Ovis aries: one gene and its partner. The protein of the gene in region 2 interacts with the protein of the main gene of each other region in a pairwise test. Links are inferred from orthologs where the notes say so. Each region holds a gene or a part of one and is shown on either strand. Other genes may lie near its edges. The genes, in order: ITGB2 and CYTH1.

What was found.
Region 1: the proteins of CYTH1 (region 2) and ITGB2 interact in a two-hybrid assay, tested with the Homo sapiens proteins (2 studies listed by BioGRID). The link is inferred for Ovis aries from reciprocal best matches to the Homo sapiens genes CYTH1 and ITGB2.

The regions. Positions count from the first base shown.
Region 1 is NC_056054.1:265,485,333-265,491,442, reverse strand, and holds part of ITGB2 (integrin beta-2 precursor), read left to right. Parts: intron 1-4,769; coding exon 4,770-4,950; intron 4,951-5,939; coding exon 5,940-6,110.
Region 2 is NC_056064.1:52,902,498-52,909,157, forward strand, and holds the start of CYTH1 (cytohesin-1), read left to right. Parts: upstream 1-2,687; 5' UTR 2,688-2,768; coding exon 2,769-2,790; intron 2,791-6,660. UniProt on the Homo sapiens protein: Promotes guanine-nucleotide exchange on ARF1, ARF5 and ARF6. Promotes the activation of ARF factors through replacement of GDP with GTP.

The DNA of each region.
Region 1 (6,110 bases), on a different chromosome or scaffold from region 2:
TTCTCAAAAACAAGGTATTCACTCGCAAAACCACAATGCATTTATCAAAGCCTGGAAACTTAACACAGTACTTTACTCTGATCAAATTTACACACCTCGGGAATTCCCTGGTGGCCCAATGGTTAAGAGTCCACCTGCCAATGCAGGGGACACAGATTCAATCCCTGGTCTGGGAAAATCCCACAGGCCGTGGAGCAGCTAAGCCCGTGCACCACATTTCCTGAAGCCCACGCCCAGCAAAGGCCCAGTGCAGCCAAAATAATAAATAAGTAAAATAAATAAAAAGACAGACTTATACACCTTGGACAAATTTTGCCAAGTGTTCCAATAATGTCTTTGCTCTCATCCCTGCCTCACTGGCCAATATTATAATCCAGGATCGCACATTGCGTGTGAATGTCTCTTTATCTCCTCAAACCTGGAACTCTCCTCGGATTTCTTTGTCTTTCTCATCCGTGACATTTCTCAGGAGTGCAGAACAGCACTTCTGCAGAAGGTCCCGCGTGTGGGTTTGTCTGGTGTTCCCTCTGACACGGCCTGGGGTGGGCCTTTCAGCAGGAACCCCGTGCAGACCTCCTGCTGTCCTTCTGTGCGGGCGATGGCAGCCTAGACCACTCGGCGGAGGGAAACGTCTGCCAGGCGCTCCGCCGTGATGTCAGTATTTCCCCTTTGCAATTAGTAATTTGTGGGGAGATACTCTGAAGCCGGGGAGCATTCTACTTCCCTTGAAGCCTACACCCACTCACTCTACCGTCCATCAGCTGATGGGAGCTCGAATCAGTTGTCACTGGGATGGTTGCAGAACGGTGGCACTCCTGTTCATGACTCCCTCCAATGGCTCCTAACGTAAGAGGAATATTTCCTTCCTGCAATCTCCTTCTCTCTTTCTCATCGGTGTGGACCCATAGATGTTTCTGTTACTCCGCAGTTTATAAGGTATCACTTTCACTTTGTCATTTTGAAGCTCAAATTGTTCCCCATTTGGCCATGGGAGCCCCGGGGCTAGCCCTGTGCCCGACTAGCATACCCCAGTATCACTTCCTGAGCTCTCTCTCTGGGATCAGCAGGCGCTCCTGGCCCCTTGGCACTTGCCTGGCCCCCACCAGAGGGTTCCTGGTTCCCTTCATGAGAAGCCAGGCTCCCAACATTCACAGTACATTTCCCCATTTCCTCCTCCTTTGACTCTGGGGAAGTGGTTACAGAGTTGCTACCCTTAGCACTGCAGGGAGGAGATGGGTGTGGTCTGCGTGCTCTTCTGTTACCAGCAAGCAGTCACAGTCCAGCTTGCAAAGTCCCTCCTCAGGGTGGGTTTCTCCCTTCCCTCCTGTGAGCTTCTTGTTTGCATCTGAAATGCAGTTAGGTTAAACTGCTTCTGAGCACATTCCATTTTAGGGATTTCTTCCCTCCCCATTCCTGTTAATTTTATTTCCCTAATACTTAAAGTGGGCTTCCCAGGTGACTCAGTGGTAAAGAATCTGCCTGCCAACACAGGAGATGCAAGAGATGCTGGTTCTATCCCTGGATCAAGAAGATCCCCAGAAGGAGGAAATGGCATCCCACTCCAGTGTTCTTGCCTGGAGAACCCCATGGACAGAGAAGCCTGGTGGGCTACAGTCTATAGGGTTGCAAAGAGTCAGACTCGGCTGAGCCACTAAGCACGCTCGCAGGCACGCAGCAGTTAAAGCATTACTAGGGCCTCAAAAGATCATGGCATCTGGTCCCATCACTTCATGGGAAATAGATGGGGAAACAGTGGAAACAGTGTCAGACTTTATTTTTTTGGGCTCCAAATCACTGCAGATGGTGACTGCAGCCATGAAATTAAAAGACACTTACTCCTTGGAAGAAAAGTTATGACCAACCTAGATAGCATATTAAAAAGCAGAGACATTACTTGGCCAACAAAGGTCTGTCTAGTCAAGGCTATGGTTTTTCCAGTGGTCATGTATGGATGTGAGAGTTGGACTGTGAAGAAAGCTGAGCGCCAAAGAATGGATGCGTTTGAACTGTGGTGTTGGAGAAGACTCTTGAGAGTCCCTTGGACTGCAAGGAGATCCAACCAGTCCATTCTGAAGGAGATCAGCCCTGGGATTTCTTTGGAGGGAATGATGCTGAAGCTGAAACTCCAGTACTTTGGCCACCCCATAAGAAGAGTTGACTCATTGGGAAAGACTCTGATGCTGGGAGGGATTGGGGGCAGGAGGAGAAAGGGACGACCGAGGATGAGATGGCTGGATGGCATCACCTACTCGATGGACATGAGTCTGAGTGAGCTCCAGGAGTTGGTGATGGACAGGGAGGCCTGGCGTGCTGTGATTCATGGGGTCGCAAAGAGTCGGACACGACTGAGCGACTGAACTGATCTAACTGAGGGTCTCAAAAGTGAAGACAGTACAGAGGCAGCTCAGGAAGCACCGCCCCTCTAATGGCCATGTCCCTTTAGTCTGGCCCTGCCCCCTGAGCTCTCTGGCCTCCTTGTTGGTTGTTCAGGGGCTCCATCATGTCTGACTCTGTGACCCCATGAACTGCAGCACAGCAGGCTTCCCTGTCCTTCACCATCTCCCAGAGCTCGCTCAAACACATGTCCATTGAGTCTGTGATGCCATCTCGTCCTTTGTCGTCCCCTTCTCCTCCTGCCTTCAATCTTCCCCTGCACCAGGGTCTTTTCTAATGAGTCAGTTCTTTGTATCAGGTGGCCAAAGTATTGGACCTTCAGCTTCAGCATCAGTCCTTCCAATGAATATTCAGGCTTGATTTCCTTTAGGATTGACTGGTTTGATCTCCTTGCAGTCCAAGGGACTCTCAAGAATCTTCTCCAACACCACAGTTCAAAAGCATCAATTCTTCAGCTCTCCGCCTTCTTGATGGTCCAACTCTCACATCCATACATGACTACTGGGAAAACCATAGCTTTGACTATACACAACTTTGTCAGCAAAGTAATGTCTCTACTTTTTACTGTGCTGTCTAGGCTGGTCATAGCTTTTCTTCCAAGGAGCAAGTGTCTTTTAATTTCATGGCTACAGTCACCATCTGCAGAGATTTTGGAGCCCAAGAAAATAAAGTCTGTCACTGTTTCCCCATCTATTTGCCATGAAATGATGGGACTGGATGCTATGATCTTAGTTTTTTGAATGTTGAGTTTTAAGCCAGCTTTTTCACACTCCTCTTTCACCTTCATCAAGAGGCTCTTTAGTTCTTCTTCACTTTCTGCCATAAGGGTGGTGTCATCTGCATATTTGAGGTTACCGATATTTCTCCTGGCAATCTTGATTCCAGCTTGTGCTTCATCCAGCCTGGCATTTCACATGATGTATTCTGCATATAAGTTAAATAAGCAGGGTGACAATATATAGCCTTGATGTACTCCTTTCCCAATTTGCAACTAGTCCATTGTTCCATGACTGGTCCTAACTGTTGCTTCTTGACCTGCATATAGACTTCTCAGGTGGCAGGTAAGGTGGCCTGGTATTCTCATCTCTTTAAGAATTTTCCAGTTTGTAGTGATCCCTATACAGTCAAAGGCTTTAGCGTAGTCAGTGAAGCAAAAGTAGATATTTTTCTGGAATTCTCTTGCTTTTTCTATGATCCTAGGTATATTGACAGTTTGATCTCTGGTTCCTCTGCCTTTTCTAAATCCAGCTTGAACATCTGGAAGTTCTCAGTTCATGTACTGTTGAAGCGTAGCTTGGAGGATTTGTAGCATTACTTTGCTAGCATGTGCTGCTGCTGCTGTTGCTAAGTTGCTTCAGTCGTGTCCGACTCTGTGCGACCCCATAGACGGCAGCCCACCAGGCTCCCCTGTCCCTGGGATTCTCCAGGCAGGAACACTGGAGTGGGTTGCCATTTCCTTCTCCAATGCATGAAAGTGAAAAGTGAAAGTGAAGTTGCTCAGTCATGTCTGACCCTTAGCAACCCCATAGACTGCAGCCTACCAGGTTCCTCCATCCATGGGAGTTTCCAGGCAAGAGTATTGGAGTGGGTTGTCACTTCCTTCTCCGTGCTAGCGTGTGAGATGAGTGCAATTGTGCAGTAGTGTGAACAGTCATTGGCATTGCCTTTTGGGATTGGAATAAAAACTGACCTTCTCCAGTTCTGTGGCCACTGCTGGGTTTTCCAAATTTGCCAGTGTGTTGAGTGCCTCCTATGAGGCCTCCTGTCTGGTTGTTATCCCCTAGTCTCCCACTGGGAGGAAGCCGGACCCACCGATGCAGCCCCTTGGTTCTCCCTGCCACAGCGACATCCAGGGAGCCTTCATGAGGGCAAAGTGGTCACGAGGAAAATGCCCTGTACCCAGGACCCCCACGCTCCCCCCTGTCTTTTCCTTCTGATCTGCTTGGCCCAGAGCCCTGTCCTCTATTCCAGGTTCCCAGGGTGCCTAGGCACTAACTGGTGGGCCAAGAGGGGCACCTGCGTTCCATCAGGAGAGAGCCGCTCCCTGCCAGCAAGGCACTGCTGAGGAAGGGGTTGAAAACCTGGGCCGGATGCTCGATTGGCCATGGAGGGTACCCATGGGTCCACCTGGAGCTGAGATGCTGGCCTTGAGCCGCTTCCACTGCTAGAGACTGTGGGGAGACGCCCACTGGCGCCAGGCTCTCCTGCAACCCCGAGCCTTGTGAAGAGGCTGCCCAGCAACCCCCATCCCTGCCTCCCCACCCAGGGACTTCTTCCTGAACAGTGGGGCAGATGAGGGGGTCAGCCTGGCAAGGCACCCACAGCGTAGGCTCCCATATTTCCTCTGTGCTACCCCTGACCCCTGCCTCCCCCAGAACTTCACAGGGCAAGGGGAGCCCGACTCCACTCGCTGTGATACACGGGCGCAGCTGCTGTCGAAGGGCTGCCCAGCTGATGACATCATGGAACCCAAGAGCCTCGCTGAGACCCGGCAGAGCCAGGCGGGCAAACAGAAGCAGCTGTCCCCAGAGGAAGTGACTCTCTACCTGAGACCAGGTAGGCTTGGCTGGCTAGGGGTGGGCCAGCCCTGATGGCGCATGTATCCATGTGTCCCTGCCCCAGGAGGATGTTCCCAACGCCCCGTCTGCAGCTGGTGCCTAGTCTCGCTTTTAGCGCTGAGTTCTGCATCCTAAAAAAAGGGAGAATAAACCATCTGAAAAACACTCCTGTATCCCTCCCTCAGAAGATGAGGTATTTTTGGCCGAGTGAAGGCTCTGATAAGGCCTGTAAACTAGGAACCCAAGTAAACCTTTGAATCAGTGTAGCCCACCTGACTTGACCACAGACCCAGGTTTAGGACACAGCTCCCTGTTAGCACTCCAAGAAACACCCTTCAGGAAGGTGGCTTGGTGGAGCAGCAGGGGGTTATGGTGAATGGGCCTGGGCAGGGCTGGGGCGGCCACATCGGGGAACTGATGCTGGAAGGCGGCTGGCAGAGGGGACTTGATTGTCACGGCTTTGTCGAGCACCAGCTGTGTGCCAAGCACCTACCTGAGAGCTGGGGACACAGGCTATTTGTACTGACAAGGAAAGAAGTCATTACAAGTGCAGGCGGTGATTAAGACGACGAGGAGCAGAAACCAGGGCGGCTGTGATTGAGGAAGGAGAGGGGGGGTGTTCCCAGGATGGCCAGGGAGCCCTTTTGGGCACCAGCAGGTTTGCCTAGCGGCTGGTGGTAGAGAAGGCCTTGCCGGGGAGACCCAGAGAGATCCAGGTGGAACTGAATCTCAACAGTGCTGGATAAACAATGAGCACTTCTTCTATCTTCTTGTATCCAGCACACCTTGTATCCAGATGGTCTTCTATGTCAGAACGTGCGCTTTACCTGAAATCGGGACCTGAATAGGCTTCCTGCATTTTATCCACCAGCCTCAAAGAATGGGGGAGTCCTGAGGGTTCTGAGGCCTGCAGAGGCATCAGTGCCCCCCAAACCCCCCACCCACAGACCAGGTGGTACACCCTGACTCTCTCCCAAATCCTGGCAGGTCAGGCAGCTGCGTTCAACGTGACCTTCCAGAGGGCCAAGGGCTACCCCATCGACCTGTACTATCTGATGGATCTCTCCTACTCCATGGTGGACGACCTTGCCAACGTCAAGAAGCTGGGGGGTGACCTGCTCCGGGCCCTCAATGACATCACCGAGTCGGGCCGCATTG
Region 2 (6,660 bases):
GAACAGACCACAGTGACAGGCCTGCAGGGAGCCCCAGCCCATTTTCAAAGTTCTTGATGTGGGCAGGGAGGGGGTCAGGGGAAGCAGCAGACCAGTGGATTCCAGACGCTGGGCTCTCTCGGCTCCTCCGCTCTGTCCTCCCTTTGAGACTCTCCCTCTGAGGTCTCCCTCTGAGGCCCCCAGGAGCTGAGGTCACAAGTAGTAAGAGAAGCTGACCTGCTGGCTCCCGTTTTATACTGTGACCTCTGTGGGCCTCGGTTCCCAAATCCACAGTATGGAGATAACAGCTCAACAACGCACCCCTGCCCCGCTCCCCGACACCCGCAGCCCCTGAGCGAGGAACATGAGCTAACAGAGGGTCTTTGACAGTCACCAGTGGTCAAGTAGGGATTCCCAGGTGACGCTAGTGGTAAAGAATCTGCCTATCAATGCGAGAGATGCAAGAGACATGGGTTCCATTGCTGGGTCAGGGAAAATCCTCTGGAATAGGAAATGGCAACCTGCTCCAGTATTCTTGCCTGGAAAATTCCACGGACAAAGGAGCCTGGTGGCTACAGTCCACGGAGCTACAAAGAGTTGGACACAACTGAGCATGCATATGTTGTCAAGTACATTTTACGTCCCTACCCAGTGCATTCATTTACAACCAAACCAAACATTATCCTTACGGTACAAGGTGGATGCTGATTCTCTTTTATTCTATCTTCTCTTCCTTCAATGGAGATTGGTTTTTCAACCATTCAGAGTCAGGACCTGCCACTGGAAAACACTGTTGTAATGAAACAATGTAAGTTAAGGGGATTTGTTTACAGTCAAAAACCAGGCTAATCGAAGTGATTAGCATTCATGCCCTTCCCATCCAAAGGTTTGGGAGTTCAGATCACAGGGAGAATTAACCTGTGGCCTCAGTTGCTTTTCTGCCCAAGTTTTGGTCATCGAGCAAGAGTTATGTAAAATCAATGAAGATTAAACTCTTAGGTCCACCAGAATCAAGCTTCTATGGATAAGATAATCTCTGTGAGGGAAGTGTCTGATTTCTGGAGCTATTGGAAAGAAACACTTGCCTAAGGAAATAAAGCCCATCTTCTTGGACATACGGGAGACATCAAGCTTCACCGTCAAAGCCTGGGTCCGACAGCTCAGGGAGTAACAGGGATATTTTTGTTTGTGAATGCACAGTTTTCCTAGCCACCAGAAGGGTGGGCCAGAGCTGCACCCTGATGGAATGTGAAGATTGGGATCCCTTAGACTGATAATGTTGGAATCCATCTCATCAAACAAAAACATTGTCAGCTGTGCTGAAGTCAAGCAGAAGACAGCAACAGATCACAGATCAGTACTGGGCAGGAGCCTGGATTTTATAGGCAGATGCTTCATTTCACGGGTGTGAGACAGGTCCAGGGGGCTGAGGTATTTGCCCAGATCACAGAGCTAATAGGAAGCAGATGTGGAAAGAAAACCTAGAGTTTCCTCATTCATTTACTCCTTTTCCATGAGAGGAAAGGGACTTTCCTTTGTTGTCTACCGGGAGGCATGTTTTGGAACGGTCTGTAAGGAAACAGACTGCTGAGAAGGGTCACAACTCCCCCTGATGGAGATATTCCCTGACATTTCAGGGGCATTGCCAGGACCTTGGGCTGAGCTCTTCTCCCGCAGCACCCCCAGTACAGCACATTGTGCTAGGGGGTCCAGGGTCATGCCCCCCAGGAGGGTCCTGGACCATCCCTGTGTGATCCTTCCAAATGACACACTTATAATTTTTATGTGTAGCACCAAATCAAGAAAGAGCATATCCATCCAGGAACAAGTAAAAAAGCAGCATTTTCGTTTATTTTTCTGAATTAAAAATTGGTGATGTCCCCACCTCCAGGTGCAGAACTACTGCCCAGGCTCCTCAAAGGGCAGCTCAGTCTAACCAGTGGGTGGGGATTGGTCGGTCAGCCCAGTGCAGGCAAATAAAACATGTAAGGCACAGCCTAGAAACGTATGAATCCAACAGTCGCAGGAATCAAGGTCACCAAAATCCTGACATGCTGTGAGGCTGAGGTGCCTCTCTTTGAAATTTGATCGGGGTACATTCAGAGGACAAAGAAAAGGAAGTATATAAAGGCAATGAACTCATGACATTCACGGTGCTAAGGTTCAGACTGCAGAAATAATGAACTCAAAATATTCTGGTATTCGGCCAAGGACTAGCAGGACCTGTGAAACTAACGTCAGCGAGGACCACCCTGCCCTTGAGTGGCCGGACACGACCTTGGTACCTCTGTGGGCGGCTGGGCTCTGGTCTGTTTCCCAGGCCTGCGCCACCCTTAGGAAATCCGAAACCTGCTGGGCCCCCGGAGGCGGCCGAGGCGGGGCCTCGGGTTGGGGCGTGGTCAGAGGCGGGGCCTCGGCGCCCGGGGCCAGCCAGAGGGGCGGGGCCTCGGCGGGCGCGCGTACGCAGTCCTGGGCAGAGTAGAGGACGCGGCCCCAGGGGTGCGCGCGCGGGCGACGGGGGCGGGGCCGCAGGCCCGGGGGCGGGGTCTGGGCGGGCGCGCGTGCGCAGGCGCGGGTCGGGAGGCGGCCGCGTGCTGGGCTCTGTGTGTGTGTGTGTGCGCGCGCGCGCAGGCCGCGGGCGGGGCGCCCCGCGGGGGACGAGGGGCGGGCGGCGGGCGGCGGGCTTGGGGCCGGGGGCGGGGCTCTGAGACTCGCCGGGCGAACGGGGCCGGGAGCTGCGGGACCTGGGGCGAGCGGCGAGCCCAGGCGCGGAGCCTGGCGCCGGCACCATGGACGAAGACGACAGCTACGGTCAGTACGGCCCTCGGTCCGGCCGGCGGACGCCCCCTCCCTTCCTCCCTTCACCGGCCCGGCGCCTTGGCCGCGCCTCAGGCGACTCACGTTTCCCGGGGACTGTGGTGCCGGACGCGAGCCGGGCGGGGCGGGGGCCTCCTCAGGGCAGGGGGCACCGGGGGCCCCGAGTGTTAAAGGCTGAGGGGTGATGAGGGGCCGACGTCGGGGTGCACGGGTCTCGGGGGCCGGCGCTGGGGGTCGCCGGGCTCCAGTCTCTGGGGCCGCAGTCGTAGGACCGGGGTCTCGGGGCCTGAGTCTCCGAGGCGGAAGTCCTCCAGGGTGAGGGTCTGTCTCGAGGCCGGGGTCTAGGGCGGGGTTCAGAGGAGGGTCTCGGGGTCCGGGTCTCGGGCGGGGGTCTCGGGCCGCTGTCCCGCGCAGGCCCAGCCTCCCCCGCGAACGCTCAAGTTCCCCCGGCCGTTCTCCGTAGTTTCCGGCCCCTTCGGTGCTGGCAAGTTATGTACCCTGGTCCATGTCTTTGTTCAGAAACAAAAATGAGAAAACACAGGCAGCGAACCCCGAGTGGACAGGCTGCCACCTGACGGTGCCGTCGGGGCCGGGATCTCCTGCCGCCGGCCACCCCAGGGTCCGAGGCTGACCGCCTCTCCGCGGAAACGGGGCTGCTGTTCCCCCAGCGCCTGCGGGGCGAGCCCGAGGGGCGCCGAGAAACCCAACTTTGCCTTCTCATCTGTGCCCAGAGACGCGGCACAGCCCTCACGCCACACCGACAGCGAACGCTTGACAAAACTACCCGTTTCCAAAGCCTCCTTCTGCTGACCTCACCTGGGAACTGTTGGCCATCCGCAGGGCATTCGTCTGTCAAATGGCTTCAGATTGCCAGGCTGGCAGAAGGCTATGTGGAATGCTTTCGTTAATTTATTTAACGTTTTATTCCCAAGAGATGAAAGAATGGCAGATAGAACAAGTGGTGAAGTTTTGTGGTTTGGTAAGCAGAGTACAGACAGCAGTTTGAAATGCTTGTGTGGCTTAGTGGAAGCGAATCCGCTTTCTTGACTAAGTGACATAGGCGACGTTTGTTTCTTAAGCTCTGAGGGAGCAAGCTTTGTTGTGGGGTATGTTAAAATGTGAAAGGTGAAGCACCTTGTTACTTTTCTGTTTGTTTACGAGTAAGTCATTGAGGAACCACTGACCGCAATAGGTGGGTTTATGACCCACAGTGGCAGACAGGGGAAAGGCCAGAGCACGTGGGATCGGTGTCCATCAGATGTCCCCTGGTTACCTTCCAAGTAAAAGCAGTGTGTGCTTTTCCTCTGTGATTGAAAAAAGAGAAAACACCCACGATTGATCCCAAAGGACTTTTCAGCCCCACTTAGGTGTCTGTTTCTGCCCACCCAGGAGAAGCCTTCTCCAGCTTTGCGTGCTCCTGTACCATCTCTTGCTGTTTAATCCAGGCTTTCTTCATGCCCTCTCCTGGTGGTCTTACCCACCGCTCGAGGCAGGAAGCTGTTGGTCTGGTTGCTTTGAACACAATGACTGCTTTGCCACCAGGCATGGCATGAATTCGTGCTCAGAAAGGGTGAATGGAAGCAGGGTGTATTTGTTTCCTGTGGCGGCTGTAACAGATTGGCACAAACAACATAAACTTGTTATCTTACAGTTCTGGAGGTCAGAAGTCCAAATTTGGTCTCACTAAGCTAAAATCAAGGTGTTTACTGGGCTGTGTTCCTTTCTGGAGGTCCTAACAGGAACATCTGTTTCCTTGCCTCTTCCAGCTTCTAGAGACTGCCCCCGTTCCTTGGCTGCTGGCTGCCTTCCACCTTCAGAGTCAGCAGGTAGCATCTTCTCAGTTCTGTCTGGCTTCTGCCTCTTCTAGTTAGGGCTCTGTGACGCCATTGGACCCACCTGATAAGGATAAGGATCAGCAGCCTTAGTTCTCCAATGGTAACCCCCTTTTTGCCACGTAGGGGCGGCGTGTTTCCAGGTTCTGGGATTAGGACAGGGCTATCTCTGGGGCCCATTATTCTGCTGACCACACATAAAGATGAGGAAGAAGTTGTTCTTTTCTTTCTGTTTGTACAATTAAAAAAAAAACATATTCTTCGTATATTGGAGGAAGCAGAAAGGTTGATTTAAAGATTTCCCCCACTCATTGGGTTTACCACACAAAAAGTACCTAATGGTTCAAGATGATCATAACAAGAAAAAGGTTCCTAGTTCTTTTTAAGGTTTGCCTCAGTCTCCAGAACTTTCCATTTCTCTCCTAGGTTTTACAGAGAATTTACCTCAAAAGATAAGACAACTATTCACATTCCACCTTTCAAACTAAAGTGGGTGCTGTGGACTCAAACAGTGCATAGAATGCCAGGTCCAGGGGGTTCCCTCGGAACCTCCATTGGTGGTTCATGAGTCAGCCTAGGTCACTACCATGATTTTTTAACATTGTATCTTTGGGGACAGGGTTTATGATTTCCATGCTATCACCTTGCTAGATAAAACCTTTGAAGCATAACTCATTTATAATAAGCTAAAGAAAGAGAATGTGTCTTAGAGTTTCTCTGTTCAACGAAAGAGAATTTTGAAAACTCACCAGAAGGCTTTTCCTAACTGCATACTCTTTGATGTTCTGTGCTGACCCAGAAACCACACCACTGAGTTCAGCAGCCCTTTCTCTTGTTCACTCCCTGTGATCCTGAGTTGTTTATTTGGTCTAGTTGTAATGCACTAGATCCATACAGCATAGTTCAAACTACACATGTGGTGTGATAAACCAGACTGTGAACACCTGTGTGAAGTGGGGGGGAGGTTAAACAAAAGTCAATTTAAAGCATTTTTTTTTCTTTTAAGAAAAATGTGGAATTAGTGGTTTTCTAAAAGCTTAATTGACACTTTAAGAAAGATGTTCCTAATGCTTGTGGCTGGCTGGTCTTTATCCCCGCCCCCCCTTCTTTCTAAACCCTGAAATAGTTGGGATTTTTGGGGGGTCATTTTACGTTCTTATTAGATGACTGTACTTCCTGGATGTCACAGTTCTCACTTGTAAAAGGAAGAGGTATTTTTACCTTCATAGCGTTCCCTGCCCACGAAAGGACTCAGTGACTGTATTCCTTTTTGTTACTTCTGAATTCAAGCAGACATTTTTAACACGCAGTCTGCTTCTTAATGGGCTTTCAGGCCCCTCTGAGATTGTATGTGAGAGTTTGTGAACGTGCATTTTTGGAGAGTCCTTTGCTTTAATTCAGTTCTCGAACGGCTCTGACTCTTGGAACTGCTGCTCCAGAGGTTTGCCTGCCTCTCTCTTACAAAAGGTCTTGAGGTAGAGATGGGCAGGGTCCATCCAGTAGTAACATCGGAAATGTTAGTGGTGATGATTCTATATCACGACTCTGACGAAATAATCGGATTTCTGAGCATAGGTTCTTAAGATCCCTGAACCCATGTGCTGTTCAAGACCTTTACTTCCCAAATACAGACCTTACTCCTCTCAGCTTTTATTAGCTTCGGCTTATCCCTTTTCTGCTGCATGAGGGAGAAGAAGCCTTTAAGAAATAAGCCTCTCTTGAGAGAGTGGAGATGTTGATCTTAACCAGGCATACCTGGCATCCTCAGATGATAAAAGTGCGGTGTGGGCAGTGGTATGCATAGGCAGTGGCATGCATGGGTGCTGCTGCAGGACTGTGCGTGGGAGCCTATTGCGTCCAGGAGAGATTTGCTGTTTGGTCTTTGTGCCTTAAGAACAAGCGTGGCCTGGTACCCAGTGGAAGCAGCTCAGTGACTCTGGAAGGAATAATAGATTGAGCCAGTTTCTGTGTGGCAAAAGTTAACATTTGCTGAACTTGAATTTTTCTCTTCCCCCCGATCCCAAACAGAAAC